Rattus norvegicus: one gene and its partners. The protein of the gene in region 1 binds, or shares a complex with, the protein of each later gene. Links are inferred from orthologs where the notes say so. Each region holds a gene or a part of one and is shown in the gene's direction. Other genes may lie near its edges. The genes, in order: Ndufaf1, Tmem186, Tmem126b, Acad9 and Ecsit.

Region 1 (4,023 bases):
TTGGTTCTCACACTCACATGGTGCCTACTATTCATTGGTTCTGATACCTTCAGGCCCCTGAGGGTACCAAATACACATGTTGCACTTACATATGCACAGGAACTAGCCTAGCAAAAATAAAGATACTCTAAAGAGATACTTTGCGTCTCTCAATCTATCAGATGATTTAAACAAAGAACCTCAAAGAAATGGGAGCTTCCCAAGGAATCTTAAGTAGGAAGAAGGAACAAACCCCTGACTTGTCTCTGGGAAAGATTTTCACAGTTTTTATAGGAAAAATTAGTGGGAAGACAGACTAAAAAGGCAGAGACTGTTTTAAGGGACCTCAACCTTTCCATGGGATGAAAGTTGAATGTAATTAGAGGGATTGTGGCAGACACACACACACACACACACACACACACACACACACCTTCATACTTATATACTTATACTTAGATAGCTACCAGGAGTTATGGCCTTGAACTCCCAGATATCCAAATACTTCTGCTTTCCCAGAGCTGGAATAAAAGTGTGGGCTACCATGTTAGTCTTGCTTTTAATTTTTAATTTGGCTCTTTTAATTGACTTATTGAGGATGGGTGATGGGAGCTGACTTGGGACACAGGTTGTGAACCCCAAGTTGGAAAACACTTTAATTGAAGTGTGCACAACGTATGCAACAGCTCTCCTGTGTGGATTATGTGGGGGGCACGATTGAGGAAAGCCTGGATTGGTTGCTATCTAGGTGTACAGTGGCTCTCCAGAAGCAGTTAAGTGGATTTCTGAAGTCACACAGCAGACAGTTCTCAAGGGACTACAGGGAAGACACACAAGTGGCCAGGCAAGTGAAGAGGAGTTAGTAGTGCGGAGATCCTGCTTGAAAAATAGGGGTTGGGGATTTAGCTCAGTGGTAGAGCGCTTGCCTAGGAAGCGCAAGGCCCTGGGTTCGGTCCCAAGCTCCGAAAAAAAGAAAAAGGAAAAAATAAAAGGATTGATATTTACATATGAGGGCGGATTACAAGAAGTAGAGCGAAGAGCTCGCTCACAAAGGACAGGAAATTTCAGAAAGCGAACCCGCTGGGGAACTTTGAATACCAAAAGCCTCAGGTTGTCCCATGCTTTAGGATACCTTTTGGTACTCTTGTACGACCTGAAACTCTATACACCTAGTTTGGTGCCGGACGGGAAAAATAGATGGACCTGCACCGGAAGCGTGGAGAACCGGGCGGAGAAAACAGAAGGACTGGCCGGAAGCCATATGTGGGGGGTCTGAGAAGGTAAGCTGACCCTTCTCCTAGATGGGAAACTCAGGGACAAGGAGGCGGGGAAGAGTCCTGGCAGGTGAGGGTTGAGGGGCCGTCACTCCTCGGGAGCGCCTAGCTTCCGGAGGCTGGGGACGTGGTTAACTCCGCCAGCCGAGAGGTGAACGCCTGGTCTTCAGAGTGACTTTTGTCTCTGGTTTGTGATCTCGAATAATTTAATTGTGGAGTCTCCTTTTCGTTAGTCTTTGTCATTGGAATAATACTAGAAGTTACCCGTCTCAGGATCAGGATTATTGTGAGAAATCAATAAAAACACACGGAGAATAGTTTCTGGCACATGGTAAGCCCTAGATTAACAGTCGTTTCTGTACATAGTAGTACAGTCATAGTACTAGGAGCGATGTGAACACCCTATTAAAAACTCACCGTTAGCTTCGGACCGATGTCACCTGGTTACTGAGTTTGAGTTTCTTGCAAGAAATTACTAAACAAAACACGAAGTTGTAGTATTGTTAGAAAAGTAATAAGATCTGAATGTCTCGAAAACAGGGTTAATAATGTTACTCATAACCCACCATTTTACCTTCTTACTACTTTAAGTCCTTTCCCCTATTAAAATTTTTTCTTTTTATAATTTTTCTTTTTCTTCGAAAAGGGGACACATGCTGACTACCTTGCCCTTGAACCTTCTACGTATCAGAAAATGGTAAATTCCTGATCCTTGTTTCTCTACTTCCCAAGAGCTGGGTTTTGTAAGTTGCACCCAAATCTTACCAGGACATTGATATTTAAAAGGTGTTCTCCATGAGCTGATGAGCCCTCACCTGGAAGGTAGAGGCAGGAGGATCAGGAGTTCAAGATCAACCTGGGTCACATGGGGCTCGTACCAAAAAGAAAAAGACTGACAGAATCTATTTGGCTGGGCATGGTAACAAATGTCTGTAATCCTAACACTTAGGTTGAGGAAGGATTAGATTCAAGACCTGTGTCTACTTTATTAGAAGCCCATTTTATCAAAATTGCCAGATGATTTAAAGGGACTATAAAGTTTAAGAAGCCCCTTGTTAGAGGGAATTATATAGGTGTGGTAAAAGCCATAAGATTCAGAACCCTCACACTTGTGACAGAGATAAAGTAATGTGGAGCTGCTTGTTCAAAAATATTAAATTTCCAGAATGCTGAGCATCATACTGGGACCTGGAGATACAGCATTGAATAGTCAACCATTAAGGTACTTACAGTCTGGGTTGGGGGACATTGACAAATGAAAAAGTCAGTAAACTGTAGCCAGCATTCGTTGGGAATAATTCATTCATAGGGACACTTCTAGGTGGAATTGGATAATCAAGAACAATTTTGCCCCCGTGGTGTAACATGGCTAAGCTAAATCTCAAGGGATCTGTTATTTGGGAAAAATCAGCAAAGAACATTCTTGGCCTAAGAGAAGCAATTAACTAAGGTGTGTAGTCCAAAAGGTGTTGGTTGGATCACAAGTATTCTGTCTGATGGAAACACACAATGAATTCATAGAGGTGAAGTTGGAGTGATGGCCAAGGAGACCTGGTCTAGAGTAGGAAGTAGATTTTATTGTGAATGTACATGGAGCTTCAGGAGGAATCTGTCTATCATCTGTTAACTGTTTGGTACTAGGGATTAAACCCAGGCTTCATGTATGGTCAGCATATACTCCACTGAGCTATCCCTGTAGGTACTCGAAGGGTTTTAATTGGTTAAAAGAATTGGTGTCTTTCTAGAGGCTGAGTGGGGAGTAAAAAAATGTGGCCCTGTGACAAGAGCAGTGATCTGAGAGAGAGGTGGGGGGGACCTCTGTGATGTGTGGATGAGAAAAGAGGGGCTTATCAGAAGCATGACAAGTTCTTTGTTTTAGTTAAAGTGGCCTGGGTGCTTCTTTTGGGTTGGCAAGGTGGGGTGGGGGTTCACTGTAGTTCAGTCTGACATACAGTCTATTGTTTAACCCAAGCTGGCCTGAAACTCATTGTGTAGCTCGTGCTAACCTTCACCTTAGGATGTTCCTGCCCAAGCTTTCCAAAACTATATGACAGGCATATTCTATCATACTTGGCCATGAGTAACACTTTGATATAGATTCAAGCAGCTAACAGGTGGACTAGATTGTTGAGGACTTAAAATTTATCATCATCATCATCATCATTATTATTATTATTATTATTATTATTATTATTATTATTATTATTAGGCGGTTGTCAGAGGGTAACTTTATGGAATCAGTTCTCTCCTTCACCTTCATATGGCTTCCAGGATCCAGCTTAGGTCTTCAAGTTTGAGTGCCAGCATTTCATCTGATAAGGCATCTTACCAGCCCCCTCCCTCACACCTTTTAGCCTTTTTTTTTTAATGTTCATTGATGTTTTGCTTGCATGTATGTCTGTGTAAGCATGTCAGAAGCTCTGGAGTGGCAGTTACAGATAGGTGAGAGCTGCCATGTGGGGGCTGGGAACTGAACCTGCATGGAAGAGCAGTCAGTGTTCTTAACTGCTGACCTTCCCACGCCCACTCCTTTCAAATGAGAGACTCTTGTTGTATGTGCTTGTTTTCACCATGTGCTGATATTGTAGTCTTTTGTTTAGAATTGTTCTCTGGTGCTATAGAGAAGTGGAATGAGAGAGCTGACCTCACACACTTGTCTTCTGTCCTCCACACATACAGCACAACACCCACATACTTGGCAAGTACTTACCCATAGGGTGACAGGCTCAAAGGTCATAGATCTTTGTTATTATATACCTTTTCGATGTAT
Region 2 (4,079 bases), on another chromosome or scaffold:
TAATGCAGACTCATACCTGGTCAAAGTGCTAAGAATAAGTAGTACCCTTTATCAACCCTGCCAAGGCTCGGGGGCAGAAAGAATGTATGAGTTAGAGGATGGAGAGAAGTGTGGTAAACGAAATGCTGTCTTCTGGACATTATGAATTCAGCAACCATGGTTCCCTGTACAAGATCAAGCCAGTTAACATTTCAGCATGGGTGATATGTTGCCTATCACTTGATGGATGGCTGTGTGTGTGTGTGTGTGTGGTGTGTGTGTGTGTGTGTGTGTAGCACTAACTGGACTTAGAGAGGTATTAAAATAAAAATTTTAAAAAGGACATGAAAACAGAAGAGGGTGTGTGGGTCAGTGTTCTCCATAGGGAGCACAGGAAGGTTGGGGGGGGGGTGAATACAATCGGATACACTGTACACATGTAATTGCAAAGGAATAAAAAAATTAAAAAAAAGATAGACTGACATATCTAAGGTTACACACACTACAGGGGCTTCTGGGACACAGTCCACGAAATCTAAAAGGGGTGGGGCAGAGGTGGCGACACCCAAGCTATTTGAGCCTACTCTCATTTGTATGATTTCTGTTCAATCATGCATTTGTGCATAGGAGGCAGAGAGAATGCCATCACCAGAACGAACCCACACAAACTTATCTTTGGCTATAACAAGTTCGGTTAGCGGAAGGAAGTCCCACCGGACTTTCTAATTAGTCTCTGTGATCCTCACCTAAGCATCACATTTAAAGGGGCTTCAAGGACTCCGCGAAAGACATTTGCTCAAGGTCAGACAGCTGAAAACCTGCCCTTGATATACTAGAAGAGACAGTCAGAGGTGACAGGGCTGGGGAGGTGACACAGCAGGTCAGAGGGTGGAGGCTGGAGTTCAATCCAGGACACCAGACCCGAGGAACCCTAGAAGAAATTCGGACCCGAACTTTTCGACTCTGAACACGTTTCCTACTCGGAAGGCTTTTCTGGCCCCCTCTTCCTGCGCATCCCACTCAGGACCCCGCTCAGGACCTAGGTCTACTGGTTCCCGGACAGTCCTTACGGCGGTCTGGGGCAGCAAGGGCTCTGCCCCACCACCAGGAGCTCCCCGGGCGCCGCCTACCTGCCGCGGGGCAGTCAAGGTCCCATCCATGTCAAAGAGACAGAGCGTGGCCATTTCTCCAGTCAGAAGACTCGTTGGCACCCGGAACTCCACCCGGAACTTCCGGGTCCGCTCCGAGCCCCGGAACTCCAAGGCACGATGGGAAGATTCTCTAATGGCTTACGGGACACTCGGGGCGGATACAAAATTTGAACTACAGTTCCCAAGCCGTAGTACTTTTTTTTTTTTTCCTTGAGTTAGCGCATTAACCTCCCGCGCATGAGCCCTTCAAGTTTCCGGGGACAAGGTCGGCGTACTTCCTGTAGCAGGCGACAGGCTCATGGTAGGAATGTCAGGTGGTGGGCGGTAAAGGAGGGACCGCACTTAGCGACCGGGTCCGGCCTACGACTGGCAGGAAGGATACCTGGGCTGCCCACTCGGGAAATCAGTCGGTGGAAGGCCAGAGTGTATTTTTACGTGCTATTTCTCTGCCTTGTTTCTTTCCCTTGGGTCACATGGACGGTCTTCATCGTCCCAGTGCGCACACCAAGTTCAGCGCTTAAGAACCATGTCTCGGGGTTGGGATTTAGCTCAATGGTAGAGCGCTTGCCTAGCAAGCTCAAGGCCCTGGGTTCGGTCCCCAGCTCCGAAAAAAAGAGAGAGAGAGAGAAAAAAAAAAAAGAACCATGTCTCCCTAGCGTATTCTGAGGTTTTCTTTGGAAAGATGAAGGATGCACAGTTAGTGTCCTCTTACTCTGAAGCCCAGAATTTGCTCACTCTTCTACTTATTCCAGACAGTCATTGTGCAGTGTGTTGAGGGCCTCCGTGCCTCACTTCTCTGCTTCCCAACCAGGCTAATTCATGCGAAGAAATTCTCTTGGCGTGTAAGGCAGTCAGAGGACTGCAAAGGTTCTGTGATAAGTACCCCATGGTTTTGTTGTGTGGGTTTCCGACACCGATTGATTTACCCTTTGAGGAAGGAAGGAAGTTTTAAGTGCACTGTTGGCCCATCTCTGTTGAATGGCTGGACGTACAGGTTTTCTATGTTTATTTGGACCTGCTCGGGGGAAAGGACCTGTCTGAGTGTCAGAGACTGCTTTTGTTTCCTTGCACTTGGGGCCAGGGCCAGGGGTGGGGAGGGCCTAGGGTTTTTTTGGTGTTGTTGGTTTTTTTGTTTTGTTTTGTTTTTTAATGCTTTTTTAAAATTTGTTTTAATCGTGTGTGTGTTTAGTTCGTGTGCATTTACTTGTGCTATGGCATGTAGGGGTCCAGGATGTCCTGCTTGAGTAATTTCTCTTCCTCCACCATGTTGGCTTCAGGGATCAAATTCACCCGGTTTGGTAGCAAGCCCCAGTTCTAGATGGGCTATCTCACTGGCTAGGATTAGGGTTTTGTTTTGTTTGCTTGCTTATTTAGTTGTAAAAAATGGGAGAATGGTACTTATCTAGAGTAGAATTCCACAAAAAATAAAGCTTCTGGCTTTATCACTTACTTTCCTCTGGCAGTCACGGTGTCTTGCCAGGGTTGGTTGAAGCCTTTCTGGGAGATGCTTTGCCTTGTTCATTGTGTGATTAGCCTGGATGATTTCTGAAAGGAACCTCTCTCTTCCAGGCTTTCCTCCTTCGAGCTGTGCCAAGGCTGCAGGGGCCCGCTGCATGGAGGAGGCCTCTACAGCAACTGTGGTGCCGTGCTGGGCAGGGGGATTCCATAAGGTGGGTGGGGAGCAGGTCTCCCCCCTCACAGGAGAAGCCACCAGGCACAGAGACTGAAAAATTCCACACAATCTACCGCTTCAATGCCATCAGAGCACTTGGGTTCCTGTCTCGGCTGAAGTTGGCACAGACAGCTGTGACTGTGGTGGCCCTGCCCCCAGGCTTCTACTGCTACTCACAAGGCCTCATGACCCTCAGCTCACTGGGCCTTATGAGTGGGATTGCCAGCTTTGCCCTGGTCATGCTGTGCTGGATGAGCCACTTCTTCCGGAGACTGGTAGGCATCCTCTATGTGAATGAGTCAGGTACCTTGCTTCGAGTGGCCCACCTGACCTTCTGGGGCTGGCGACAGGACACATACTGTGCCGTGTCAGACATGATACCCCTGTCAGAATCCGAGGAACGGGTCCAGGATGTGTTCGTGCGTATCCAGCAGTACAGTGGCAAGCAGACCTTCTACCTCACCCTACGCTATGGCCGAATCCTGGACAGGGATCGTTTCTCACAAGTATTCGGAACCCTGGCCACACTCAAGAACAGCAAGTAGGCCGTTGTAGCCCTGGTCAAGAACATGGATGAGACAAAAGCTAATACCAGGGACTGGGCTGATGCTCACTTTGTAGACTGCTTGCCTAGCATGTAGGACTTCACATCCTGGGTTCAGTCCCTAGTACTGCATAGAACCAGCCATGACTGTGCCTGCCTGTACTCAATACTGGTGACATAGGCAGGTGGAGAAGTTCAAGGTTGCCTTGGGCCAAAAAGGAAGGCATTAACCAGCTTTAGGAAAAAGCCCTTAGTGGAACATTATACTATATAGGACATCCTGTCAGATAGTGGCCAGAAGTCTCTATGAAGAGGCAGTTCCTAGAGGAGCACTATGCCAAGATCGCCGAGGCAGCCCGCTGCTGTGAAGCTGCAAGGTGGGAGGGTTGGCAGAGGAGCATAGGATGTGGAGCCTGGGGACTTGGGTTCTGCTGAGCCTTAGTTCCTTGACCTGGGACAGGGTATTGAGTTCCTGAACCTTGAATTGCACTCTGAGATGGAAGACCCTTCCTCTCATGAGGACGGATATGAAAATAATAATGGCTGTGGCTGTGGCTTTGTGACAGAGCTCTTGCCTAGCATGTGTAAAGTCCTAAGTTCCATACCAGCACCATGAACAGGCAAAACCAGTGTGTAAGGTAAGCAGCCAGAAGTTACAACGTAGAGCAAGGCTTCCAGGCTGCCACTGGGGTCCATCACTGGTCCTCAGGCTCACCAGCTGAATGGCCACAGC
Region 3 (4,305 bases), on another chromosome or scaffold:
TTCCTCTGTCCGGGCTTCACGGTATAACACATAGCGATTTCTGACAAAGACTCTGCTTTCTATCCTAGGACCTACTAGAAAACTGAACTACAACATAAAATCCAAGATAACCATGAACTAGACCAGAACAATACCCCTCTCTGATTCATTGTTATTGTTGTTGTTGTTGTTGTTGTTGTTTCTGTATTCTCCAAAGCATTTCCTGCTCTCCTACCTACCCTTATATCCAAAAATAATCTCCAAAACAGGCTCAGGCTTTGATGAGAGAAGACAAGTGTGGTGGTTTGAACATGAATGGAACTCATAGACTCACATGTCTAATAATCCCATAGGAAGTGACATTATTAGAAATGTGGCCTTGTGTGTCACTAGGGTAGGGGGCTTTGAGGCTTCCTATGCTCAGGCGGGAAGGAGGTTGAAGCTTCCTGTGCTCAGGGTACACCCAGTGTGGCATACAGTCTCCCACTGCCTTCAGATCAAGCCAGCACTGAACCTCTGAAACTGTAAACCAGCCCCAATTAAATGTTTTTCTTTATAAAAGTTGCTTTGGTCATGGTTTCTCTGCACAGCAATAAAACCCTAACTAAGACAACAAGAAATCTTTGTCAACATACAGGTACTATTTCTGCTGATACTTCAAGAGGATTAAAAATCAGGGCCCTCTACTCTTTTGGATTGAACAGAGGAAGATGTGCTGAAGGAAAACAAAATCACCATCTCAGTGGCAAGACAAGCTTTCTGAAACTCAATTTTCCAAGCTATTGTCTTAGTCATTGTTCTAATGCTATGAAAAGACACCATGACCACAGCACCCCTTATAAAACAGACTTGCTTATAGTTTCAAAGGTTTAGTTCATTATCATTTAATAGCCCTGGTGCTAAAAAATTATATCCTGACCCACAGGCAGCACAGACAGACAGACAGACAGACAGACAGACAGACAGACAGACAGACAGACAAGTACCTGACCTGACAAAGGTTTTTGAAACCCCAAAGCCCATGTTCAGTGAAACACTTCCTTAGACAAAGTCACAACTGCTAATCCTCTAAATCCTCATATAATGCCAGTGCCGTTCCCTGATGGCTAAGCATTCAAATACATGAGCATATGGGGAGCCATTCTTACTCAAACCACATATGTAAACACAGAAATAATAGTTTTCCCAATTTTTATGTAACTCACAAAAAAAAAAAATCAACCCCACTGTAACAAATAAGAGTCCAGTAAATACTATTTTTTAAAATATGTGAAAGCGGATAACACAGTACCTAGAACATTCCTAGACTCTAAGTGTATTTAGTCTGAATATAGTTTTATAAAGTTTTGTTTAATATTAGTGTGGTTAGCTGTCATGACTCTGGAATTTTGTGTTTTCCAGGACATCAAGATGGCACTTTACAAGCATGGTCGGCTGATTCCCTCTCTAGGAGATGCGAAGTTCGGAAGACCAATGATCGCTGAAATCTTAGAGAAAAAGTTTGAGTCTTATAGAAACGACCAGTAAGAGACACAGTGATAACTGACCAGCGACTTTACTTGTGCATCCTTCCTATTCCCAGTCTCTGAGGGTTAAGAAACTATTTGTTTTTTGCTTCTTCTCTTTGTCTCCTCAAAACTTTTATTTCCTGGGTAGTGTCACTGTGTAACATTTTGCCAAAATGTTTTTCCTTTAGGCTTTCAGTTTTTCTTGCAACTATTCTGCCTCTAATGGCAGCCTGAATTGCTTGAGAATCTTCTAGATCAGTGATTCTCAACCTAGGGGGCATGACCCCTTTGGAGGTTGCATATCAGGTATCCTGCATGTCATATGTTTACATTACAATTCATAACAGTAACACAATTGCAGTTAGGAAGTAGCAACAGAATAATTTTCTGTTAGGGGGTCACCACAACATGAGGAACTGTATTAAAGGATCTCAGCATTAGGAAGGTTGAGAACCACTGGTCTAAATATTTACATATGGGAGTGGTGGGGTTGAGGAAAATTGGCAACAATGAAGTTCCAAAAGATGCCTTTACAAAAGTCCTGAAAACACATCTAGTAAATAATAGAAAAGCTATTTATTGAGGTGGTTACAAACTGGACAAAAATGTCAATGAATTGATATGTTGGCTTATTAGACTTTAGATAAACTCTTTTGCTTCTTTTTATAAGGCTTATTCTGTGTGTGTGAGAGATAGACAGATAGACAGACAGACACTATATGCCATTTATGTCTGCACATGCTAGAAAGCTTCTGGGGGAAGCTAGAAAAGAGCTTTGGATACCATGGAACTGTCATCAGAGGCTGCTTGTAAGCCCTAAGATGTGGATCCTGAGAACCAAACCCCTTCTTTTGCTTTTTTAAAAAAAAAAGCCCAAATTTATTGCTGAGATACTATTTGTACAAATATTTTTTAAATTAAAAGCAATTAGTATGAAACTATTTTGAAGGCTACTTGTATTTTACTGATGGACAGTTATGATTAAAGTCAGTTTAGCAAGGCTAGAGTGATGGCTTAGAGGTCAAAGCTCTTCATGTCTGAGGACTGCATTTTGGATCCCCGAAAACCCGTAGAATTTCCAGGTGGATATAGCAGTTCAAGCCTTCGAGGCAAAGACAAGTGACCCCCAGAGCAAGCTGGCAGGCAATACTAGTGTGAGCTCTAAGTTTAAGAGACTGATGCTCATGATCTCAGCCAAGGTACTGGGGATAAGGATGACTAGAGAATGTGGAAAGGACTATGGCATGATGACCTCGGACTACTATGGTGACTTTCAGTAAAAGAGCTCAAGACTAAGCTAAACAACAGGTATACTTGAAAGCTTTCTTCATTCAGGTCAGAGCCAGAATTAAGTAAAAGCAAATCTGGCAGATCTCATTCATTGAAGTTTTATAAACCACAGATAAATTATTTTAGATGTATCTGGACCAGTTCACAAATGGTTCTTTTCTAGACAGGCTAACCATGTGAAAATAGCTTTTATTCTAGAGGATCTTAAACAATTTTCTTTCATTGAGACAATTATTTTAATAACAAGAAATACTAGATGCTGGGTAAATATGTGACTCATTTCAAGAATGCATGCTAAACTTCTTTCTTTGTTCCTCTTAGGACTTTAAATATACGTGGAACTTTATTCTTTGGAGTAAGTAGTAGTTTGTCTGGCGTTATGGCAAACTTAGTATTCAGATACAGTTTCAAGGTTAAGTATGAAGCTTTGAGGACCTATGCATCCCTGACTACCCTTCCATTTGTGGCTACCGCCGTTACTTACAAGCTCTTTGTGACTGATGCTCTGCAATCAGGTAAATTTAAATTCATCAGTATATAACGTAACTATAACAAATTAAAATTGAGGCCAGCCTGGTCTACAAGTTCCGGGACAGCCAGGGCTGTTACCCGGAGACACTTTGTCTCGAAAAATAAAACAAAACAGAAAAAGCACATATGAATGGTAATCCTCCATATGCTAACACACAATAAAGAGTTTCAGAACAAGGCACCGGGCTTTGAATTCCTAATATTCTATCTACTGTTTACCTTTAGTTGCAAACAGCAAAGTAAGTGTGCTTTGATAGACAGCTTCATTTTAACAGTTATCCTAAATCTTAAAGAAAACTAACTTTTCTCTCCCTTCCTAGGTAATATAAGCCAGGAAAGCTGTGTTCTGAGAAGCTCACTGATCGGCGTAGCCTGTGGGGTCTCCTATCCCAGTGCTTTGGCTTTTTATAAAAATGGACGCTTAGCAGTTAAGTAAGTAGTCCATTCCTTCCCTTCCTCTTTTCTTTATTCTTGTTCACCTAGTTCCCACACCTCTCCCCTTCGTGTGTGTGTGTGTGTGTGTGTGTGTGTGTGTGTGTGTGTGTGTGTGTGTGTGTGTGTGTGTTGGGTTCTGGGGATCAAATTTGGTCCTCACAGTTGAGTGAGGACCTAAGCATTTTACTGACTGGACTATCTTCACAACCTCCCTCTCTCCTTTGTTGTTGTTGTTGTTGTTGTTGTTGTTGTTTGTTTGTTTGTTTTTTGTTTGTTTGGTTGGTTGATTGATTTTTTTAATGGAATATATTATTTATTTACATTTCAACTGTTACCCTCTGTCCCAGTTTCCCCTCTGGAAGCCCCCATCCCTTACCCCCTCCACCTGCTTCTATAAGGGTGCTCCCCCACCCACCCACCCACCCACTCCTGCCTCCCCACCCAGGCATTTCCCTACACTGGGGAAATCAAGCCTTCACAGGACCAAGGGCCTCTCCTCCCATTGATGTCACCACAAGGCCATCCTCTGCTACATGGTAGCTGGAGCCATGGGTCTTTCCAT
Region 4 (3,512 bases), on another chromosome or scaffold:
TAATGTAGAGAAGTCAGGAGAGTGAGTAATAGGACAGGGTAGGGACAATTGAAGGCTCCCCTTAATGAGAGGACCAAGGAGATAGGGGGGCTCCTGAGCCTGGAAACTTGTGCTCTGTCCCTGTTCAGCAGCCCTGGCTCCAAATATACACCCTATCCCAAGCAGCTAGAGGAGTAGCTAGAACTCAGAGGGCCACAGGTCCTCGAGCCTTATGGGATGATTTCAAAGGCCAGCAGGGAATCCTGGCAAGTTGTCCGCTAGTGATTAGAAGCCAAGTCATTCTCCAGGAGAAGAGTGGACATGAGAAGAGCTGGAATCTTACACAGGCATGGTTACTTCATGTTTCAGGACCTAAGTATGTCCTTTCTGATTCTCACAGCTACTTTTTCTGATGAACAGGATTATATAGGAAAAAACACACCAATAGAGGACATATAAGTTGCTCAAAGCCAGTCACGCACATATAGAGCAGCTAGGCTCAGGTTGATTCTTCTCCTGTGACCCTGCTACCTCACATGCTCAGCACAGGAAGCCAGTATCCACAACACAAGAAACAGCTGCCCAAACAGAGACACACAGGATGATTAACATATATTCTTACCATTGGGACCATCTGAGCTCACATAAAGACTGGGGTTCATTTTAGTGAGGAAGCCTCGTATCTGTTCTCTCCTACAAGTCTCAAAAGGACCTTGAGAGAATGTGACCTGCACATTGTGGGTGAGAAAGTGCAAGTGCTGCTGGAGTCTGATGGCTCCACACACCTAAATGTAATCCTAGGTTCTTATGGGGCACACTCTGCCGCTTGGTATTGATAAGGAAACTGTTGAAGATTGGGGTTCAGCCCACCTGCATGGGGAGGAAAATAGCTATAGATAGCATCTAAGCTAAGACCCATACCTGAGGTTTTGTGGGAAGTCACCTTTCTGCCTCCTTCCCAGGACCATTTCCCCTCTTTCCTTTGTGATAAACACAATAATGAGTAGTTGCTGAAAATTAAATTTGTCATCCATGTTTTTCATTTTTAGAAAGGAGTTTTCCCATTTCCAGAGGTTAGTCAAGAAGAGCTTAGTGAAATCAATCAGTTTGTGGGACCGTTGGAAAAATTCTTTAATGAAGAAGGTATGTATGGTTTTCTCTCATTGCTGTCTTGCATTACAAGATTGCACACACTGGAAGCACTGTAGACAGAAGCAGCTCCTAGTGTCATTACTAGGTTACACATAGTTCTGCTCATAGCGGGACCTGCAGGCATCACTCATTTCTGCCTACTTAAAAGATACTAATTTGGTCCTCCTGGTGTACAGCCTCTTTTAAATGTTTCTGTGTTGCCTCAGGCTAAAACTTGCAAACGACATGATAAAGTGAATAACTAGAAAAGATGAAAATCGCTGAGGCCAGGTGGTCCAGACTTGCTAATTGCATGCCTGGGGATGATATGCATGTTCCTAAGGCTCACGCCAGCTTCTTTGTACCGGCTGTTTTAGGGACCATTCACGGTCTGGGGCCCAGTATTTTCTCGGGGACCGTCTGCATTTCCCATTTGTCACAGTGGTGACATCTTGGATAGCTCCTTTAACAGCACAAACAGGATATTGCTATCAATACAAGCCTGCTGTCTTCACTCAGAGTTCTCAAAGCTTAGTGTATACTGGTGCGTGTGTGTGAGAGAGTGCGTGTGTCATCTGTGTGTGTGTGAGTGTGAGCCTGTGTGTGTGCGTGCGTGTTCATAGACAGTGCCGTCGTGTGTGTACAGTCATGAAGATACAGATTCCGTGAGATAGTGAAGATTCTCACACTGTCTTTTTAAAGATAAACATCTCTGGAAACTCCCTCAAAGTCACACCAAAGGTTTGGTTCCTAAATCATTCTAAAACCAGCTGACAAGATGAGCCATCATAGAGAGCATGTCTCCAGGAATCTGCATCATAGAAGTACATGCATGATACACTGCTACTTTACGTGAACCTGGTGACTAGCACCTAAACTAGGAGAAACACTTAGCACTAGTCACCTAAGAATACAGTTCTTACATACTTAATTACATAAAATCAACAACATGCCGAGGGAGCCTGACTAAACAACTTCGGGTTTTAGACATTTTCTACCAGTGATGAGTATACTCTTAAAAAAACCATTCTGTATACTTTTATTAAACACGAACTTATCTTACTTATTTTTACTTGCTTAATCAAGATAACTTGTTTTTGTCAGTGGACTCTCGAAAAATTGACCAGGAGGGAAAAATCCCAGCTGACACCTTAGCGAAGTTGAAGAGCCTGGGACTTTTTGGCATTCAGGTCCCAGAAGAATATGGTGAGTCAGCACAGTGGCCACCCACCTGGTGGGCTGGCTCTTCAGCAGGTGCTTCCCATGGGTGCATAAAGGCTTCTTGTTTAGGAGTCATGGTCTTTAAATCCAGTCTTCCAGATGTGCTCTGTGGGGCATTTTCCTGCCACACCCAAGTGATGCCATTACTGTAGCAAATGGGAGGTTTTCATGGTTCCTTACCTGTCTGTGTTGCCAGATACTGAAGTACAGCAGAAGGTGGGCCCTCGTGTATACAGACAGGATAAGTCCACAGCACAGCCAGATCTGGAGCCCTAGGTGAAACCGTGCACAGGGCAGCCTGCACGGCAGGAAACGAGCACCCAAGAGTCCAGTGCCACAGCAGAAGAGCCTTGGCCTGGCCGTCTGGGTTGGAATCCTAGAACAGGGACTGGCAGCACACTCAGAGACCTGCTGTCTGTGTAGGTGTCTGTGTTAACAGTTCAGCTTCCTCTGTGTTTCCTGCCTGGAAGGAATCTGAGGGTGTGCACAGAAGTGCTGAGTAAGGTATAGGTGACGTTTCATTGTGCCATTCTGTGGATTGTTAACTTTTAAAAATTAAAACAAAACTACTGTTGCTTTGAAATTAGGAAAATAAAATGGATACCTTTTCCTCAGCCAAGAGAAGCAGCTAGACTTGTCTGTCTATCTGTCTGTCTGTCTATCTTAGGTGGCCTGGGCCTCTCCAACACCATGTATGCCCGGCTTGGGGAGATCATCAGCATGGATGCGTCCATCACAGTGACCCTGGCAGCACACCAAGCTATCGGCCTCAAGGTCAGTTGTCTGGAGCTGCATTTGGGGGAGTAGGAGACAAGACTGTTTGTGTGACATAAATGGACTTTACAGCTCGGGGTCTGGAGGGGAAGCCCAGCCCTTTGAGACAAAGGTTAGTGCTGTCTTTAGAGATGAATCCTTCCCTGAGGTGTCCCGTCTTTATATATACCTTACTTGCTCCCTCAACTTTGCTTTAAGGCAGCTTCAAAGGCAAACATTAGATGCATACATCTCTGCTGTGTACAGGTGGAAGGCAGGTAATTGGATTCCATGTCTGGCATCGAAGCCCACAGTTGAGTCTCCAGACTGTAGTTACTTAGCAACAGGGTTGGGGTTGAAGAGCACAGCTTTGGAATGGGCATGTCTGTACTGTGTATAGTCCTAGCACCCCCGTGTATGCACATGCT
Region 5 (4,212 bases), on another chromosome or scaffold:
AGTTCCTGGCTAGCCAGGCCAAGCAACACAGCAGGACCCTGTCTAAGCAAAACAAAAGGACTGGGGCTATACCTCAGTTGGTAGAGTAACTGCCTACAATGTCAGAGGCTCTGGACTGTACCCCAGCACTACAGAGACAATGTGTGGTGGCATAGGCCTGTAATCCCAGGACAAAAGAGACAGGAAGATCAGATAAGTCAAATTCAGCTACACAGAAGTTCAAAGCTAGTCCAGGCTGCACAAGACCTTGTCTTAAAAATGATTACTTATGAGGTTGGCAGGTTAGCTTGGTAAAGTGCTGTCAAGTCTGATGGCTGAGTTCAATCCCTGGGACTCCCAGGATAGATTATAGCAAATTATCGCCACATGCACCACCCGCAAAATAAAACAATGTTAAAAAAAAGCCTATATTCAATCAATATATGTATATGTGTATGCGTCTGTGTATGCATATGAATAATATATCTATATGTAATCGCTATTATCTATACACACATACAACAAATCCAGGGCCATCCAATCATCTACACATACACTCCATAGGCCTCTAAGCTCTCAGTGTGGGTGGTCTGAAGAGTCAATCTAGACTCCCAGTTGGGGAGGGAGAGAGGGGTGTCAGGAATGCATGTCCTTTCTCACAGTAGCCCTTGTTGTACTTATATGGCCATTTCACATAGATGAATTCAAACTTCAAAAATTGTTACTTAGGGGCGGTAAAAGTGCTCATAGCCAAGCCTGATGACCCAGGTTTCATCCCCAGTACCCACATGGAAAGAACATTCCCCCTAAGTTGTCCTGACTTCCACACGAACGTGCTCACACAGATTTACTTACACACATAACACACAATGAAAATAAACATAACTTGACATTCTGTTAAAGCTGTTGGCAGTGTTGCCCACCTGAAGTTCCAGCTATTCAGGGGGCTGATCCCTGAGGATCTCTTGAATCCAGGGTTTTGAGGCCAGGCTGAGTACCACTGCAAGACCCTGACTCAAACAACTGGACCAACCAAACTAAAAAAACCCGTTTAGTAAAAAGAATAAGAATAAATCCCGGGACTTAGGCTGTGGCTTAGCAGACAGCGGTAGAGTGCTTGCTTAGCACGCAAGAGGCCATGGGCTCCGAACCGGATGTGGTGCTTCCAGTCCGTAACAATAATTTACCATCACGGCGGAGAAAACTGGACCGGACAGACGTAGGGGAACCCGATCCAGCGCCTCCGCACCGGTACCCAAGGCTTCTAGAGTTCGGTGAGCAGCAGGGCCTGCTCCTGAGGAGAAACCAGTGTCTTCCGCCTTCCTATTGGTGGATCTCCACTTGAGGGCGGGACCTATCGTCACAGGTTTTTCTGATTTGCTGTCACCTTCGACTCGTAACCGGAAGCTGTGTGGCTCAACATGACGGCGCCCAGCGGTCCCAGCTAGCCTGCTCGGGTGTGCGGGTGGCCGCGTGAGTAGGTGGGTCGCGCGTGGGAGGGCTATGGGACCGTCTGGGATTGGGGCGTCCACTTCCAAGCCTGGTAGAGCCGGGGAATATGACCTTCAACTCGACCTCAGTCAGGGCACTGTGACCTTTTCAGGTGCAGGCTTGGGAATGAGCAAGGAAAGGTTGCTGGGCACCTCTTGCTGCAGGCGTTCGTTTCACAGATGGGATAGCGGACTCGGGCAACGTACATTGTCTGTGAGGCAGGCATTGGAACCTTCCAGCCTCAGAGACTCAAAATCGTGCCAGCCCACACGCATACATACACGCTACCTCGCTGTTCCGATTTATCCATGTCTTGTAGAAACTTTCTGCTTATTCACACTCAGTTGATCGGTGTTGGGCATTTACAGTGTGCCAAGCACTGACCCAGTTGGTGGAGACACAACAATGAGAAAAACAGATTTTTTAAAAAAGTACTATCTAGGAGAGCCAATTATTGAGCAAATCACACACACACAGAACAGGTAATCTCGTGATTTCAAAACAGTGATTGTTGCAAGCAGTGTGTTTTTCCCTGATTCAAGAGTCTTTATGTGTCCCAAGCTGGCCTCGAACCCATCATGATCGTCCTCCTGCTTCAGCCCCCGAGTTCTGGATTATAGGCATACACCAAAACAGTAAACAGTAGGCAGAGGGTAAAACAAGTTCAAAGCCTGGGAAACCAATAAACTTGTCTTGTTTCAGAAACAGTGTAGCTGGTGCTACAAGAGAAAGGGGGAGTACAGCAGGTAGAAGCCATCCGATGTGTATTTACTTTGAAGTTTTATTTTGGTTATGGTGTGGGGGGTGGGACACATGTGCCATGGTGCATGGTGCAGGTCAGAGGGCAGCTCTGAGGTTTTATCCATACACCTTAGGTTGGTTCCAGGGTTTGAGCTCAGGTCATTAGGTTTGCTTTGTTTTGACAGCAAGTTCCTTTCCCAGCTGAATTCTCTCTCCCTGCTCTTGTTTAAAGTTTAGACAGGACCTTTCTGTAGCTCAGACTGCCATGGAGCTCACTAACGATCTCCAGCTGTTTTGATTCTGGAGGCCATCCTCCTGCCTCACACTCCCCAGTGCTGGCTTTACACACACAACACCTATCTCAAGCACATTTTCTTTTTAAAGACAGGGTCCCACTATGTAGCCCTGGTTGGTCTGGAACTTGCTGTCTGTATAGATTGGTTTCACCTCAAACTCAGATCCGCCAGCCTGTGTCTCCCAAATGCTGGGATTACAGGTATGTGCTATCACACCCAGCATTCTTGTGTGTTCCTGTGTGGGTACAGGGATGTATGTTAGTGCATGTACACATGTAAGCACATGTATGGAGGAAAAATGTCAACCTAAGATGTTGTTCTTCAGGAGCTGTCCACCTTGTGCTTTGGGGCCTGCTGCAGGGAGCTCAGGGCTCTGTTACAGGGAGTTCAGGGCTCTGTTGCAGGGAGCTCAGGGGCCTGCCTGCTTCTGCTTTCTCAGATTCCTCAGATTGCAAGTGCATGGCACCTCACCTGGCTTTGTAATGGGTGCTGGAGCTCAGGTCCTCATTCTTTCAGGGCAAACAGTTTACCAATGGATCCATCTTTCCAGCACAACTGGTTTCTGTTGTTAAGAGCTTCCTTTTGCAATGGAGGGAAGTAACTAGCAGGGCAGAGAGAAGGCAGAAAGGTATGCAGGAAATCACTGTGGAATGGTATGGTGGCCTGCAAGGGGATAGGTTTGGAAGTAGTCTCCAGGACTATCTATTGACTGAATAGGGACATAGTGACTGCTGAGCAATTCTTACATTGGGGCCTGAATAACCAGGAAGGGTGGTGCTACTGGCTGGCCTCCAGAGAAGCACAGTCAGCAAAGGTGTTGTCAGTGTTCCCTGGATGGAGTTTGGCATGGCTGGTTTGTACCAAAGTTATACTTAGGTATGGAGGCAAAAACATTAGGGAACCATGAGCATAAACACTAACAACTCTAATGCATGAGGAGCCACCTATGGGTGTTACAATGCAGATTCTCATGCAGTAGACCTGAGTTACAGCCAACATTCTACAGGTCCTGGAACACAATTTGCAAGGTTTTAGAGTCTTTTTATCCAACTATACCAAGCAAGTACCTACCTTGAGCCACACCATCAGCCTTTCCGTGGGGGATTCTAGATAACACTGAGTCTCAGTTCCAGCCACTCACTAGGGGAATCTAGCAGAGGCTCACTGGGCCCAGCAGCTCCCTGGAGGAGTCTAGGCCAGGTCTATAGAGTCCCAGCCTGAGTCCAGTCTAGTTACATTTCCTAGGCCAGCAGCTGTTGATAAAAGTTGTCAGAAGTATGGTCATGTTTCCACTAAGCCTGAATCTACAGGTTTTGTGCTCCCAGGGCATTTGTCTGCACCCTTGGCAGTGTTGCAGATAATGCTGACATTGAAAGGCATCTCATGATTGGCTGAGAAGTAGGCACGGGTGCCAGGGAGAAACCCAAGGATGTTAGCAAGGACTATAAGGGAGGGGACGTCACTGTCTGATACTTGGAAGTTGACACCTCAAAGTCATTGCCTTCAAAGTGTTGAGCACAGCGGTGCATTGGGCGGGCATTACTGACAGGACTAGGGCAGCCGTCAGGCTGCTGAGGAGGAGGAACCAGTGTGTAATCATGGCTTAGGGGAAGCTCTAAGGATAAAGAAAGCAGGGAGTGGAGGGAGATTTGGGGCCAAGATGGGAGATACTGGAAAAAGAGTTGGATTTTTTTTCTCCTTAAAT

What was found.
Region 2: Ndufaf1 (region 1) and Tmem186 share a complex: the UniProt entries of both Homo sapiens proteins name them as parts of the mitochondrial complex. The link is inferred for Rattus norvegicus from reciprocal best matches to the Homo sapiens genes NDUFAF1 and TMEM186.
Region 3: Ndufaf1 (region 1) and Tmem126b share a complex: the UniProt entries of both Homo sapiens proteins name them as parts of the mitochondrial complex. The link is inferred for Rattus norvegicus from reciprocal best matches to the Homo sapiens genes NDUFAF1 and TMEM126B.
Region 4: Ndufaf1 (region 1) and Acad9 share a complex: the UniProt entries of both Homo sapiens proteins name them as parts of the mitochondrial complex. The link is inferred for Rattus norvegicus from reciprocal best matches to the Homo sapiens genes NDUFAF1 and ACAD9.
Region 5: Ndufaf1 (region 1) and Ecsit share a complex: the UniProt entries of both Homo sapiens proteins name them as parts of the mitochondrial complex. The link is inferred for Rattus norvegicus from reciprocal best matches to the Homo sapiens genes NDUFAF1 and ECSIT.

Annotation. Positions count from the first base shown.
Region 1 is NC_086021.1:127,101,209-127,105,231, reverse strand, and holds the start of Ndufaf1 (complex I intermediate-associated protein 30, mitochondrial), read left to right. Parts: upstream 1-1,211; 5' UTR 1,212-1,424; intron 1,425-1,899; exon of another isoform or gene 1,900-1,950; intron 1,951-2,423; exon of another isoform or gene 2,424-2,475; intron 2,476-4,023. UniProt on the Homo sapiens protein: As part of the MCIA complex, involved in the assembly of the mitochondrial complex I.
Region 2 is NC_086028.1:7,488,328-7,492,406, forward strand, and holds the start of Tmem186 (transmembrane protein 186), read left to right. Parts: upstream 1-1,271; 5' UTR 1,272-1,428; coding exon 1,429-1,431; intron 1,432-2,699; coding exon 2,700-3,347; 3' UTR 3,348-4,079. Other genes in the region: Pmm2 (phosphomannomutase 2), read right to left, coding at 1,110-1,163. UniProt on the Homo sapiens protein: As part of the MCIA complex, required for efficient assembly of the mitochondrial complex I.
Region 3 is NC_086019.1:153,857,836-153,862,140, reverse strand, and holds the start of Tmem126b (complex I assembly factor TMEM126B, mitochondrial), read left to right. Parts: upstream 1-1,502; 5' UTR 1,503-1,570; intron 1,571-3,098; coding exon of another isoform or gene 3,099-3,156; coding exon 3,157-3,292; intron 3,293-3,628; coding exon 3,629-3,740; intron 3,741-4,305. UniProt on the Homo sapiens protein: As part of the MCIA complex, involved in the assembly of the mitochondrial complex I. Participates in constructing the membrane arm of complex I.
Region 4 is NC_086020.1:120,874,324-120,877,835, forward strand, and holds part of Acad9 (complex I assembly factor ACAD9, mitochondrial), read left to right. Parts: intron 1-1,028; coding exon 1,029-1,122; intron 1,123-2,214; coding exon 2,215-2,316; intron 2,317-2,998; coding exon 2,999-3,105; intron 3,106-3,512. UniProt on the Homo sapiens protein: As part of the MCIA complex, primarily participates in the assembly of the mitochondrial complex I and therefore plays a role in oxidative phosphorylation.
Region 5 is NC_086026.1:28,891,563-28,895,774, reverse strand, and holds the start of Ecsit (evolutionarily conserved signaling intermediate in Toll pathway, mitochondrial precursor), read left to right. Parts: upstream 1-1,408; 5' UTR 1,409-1,460; intron 1,461-4,212.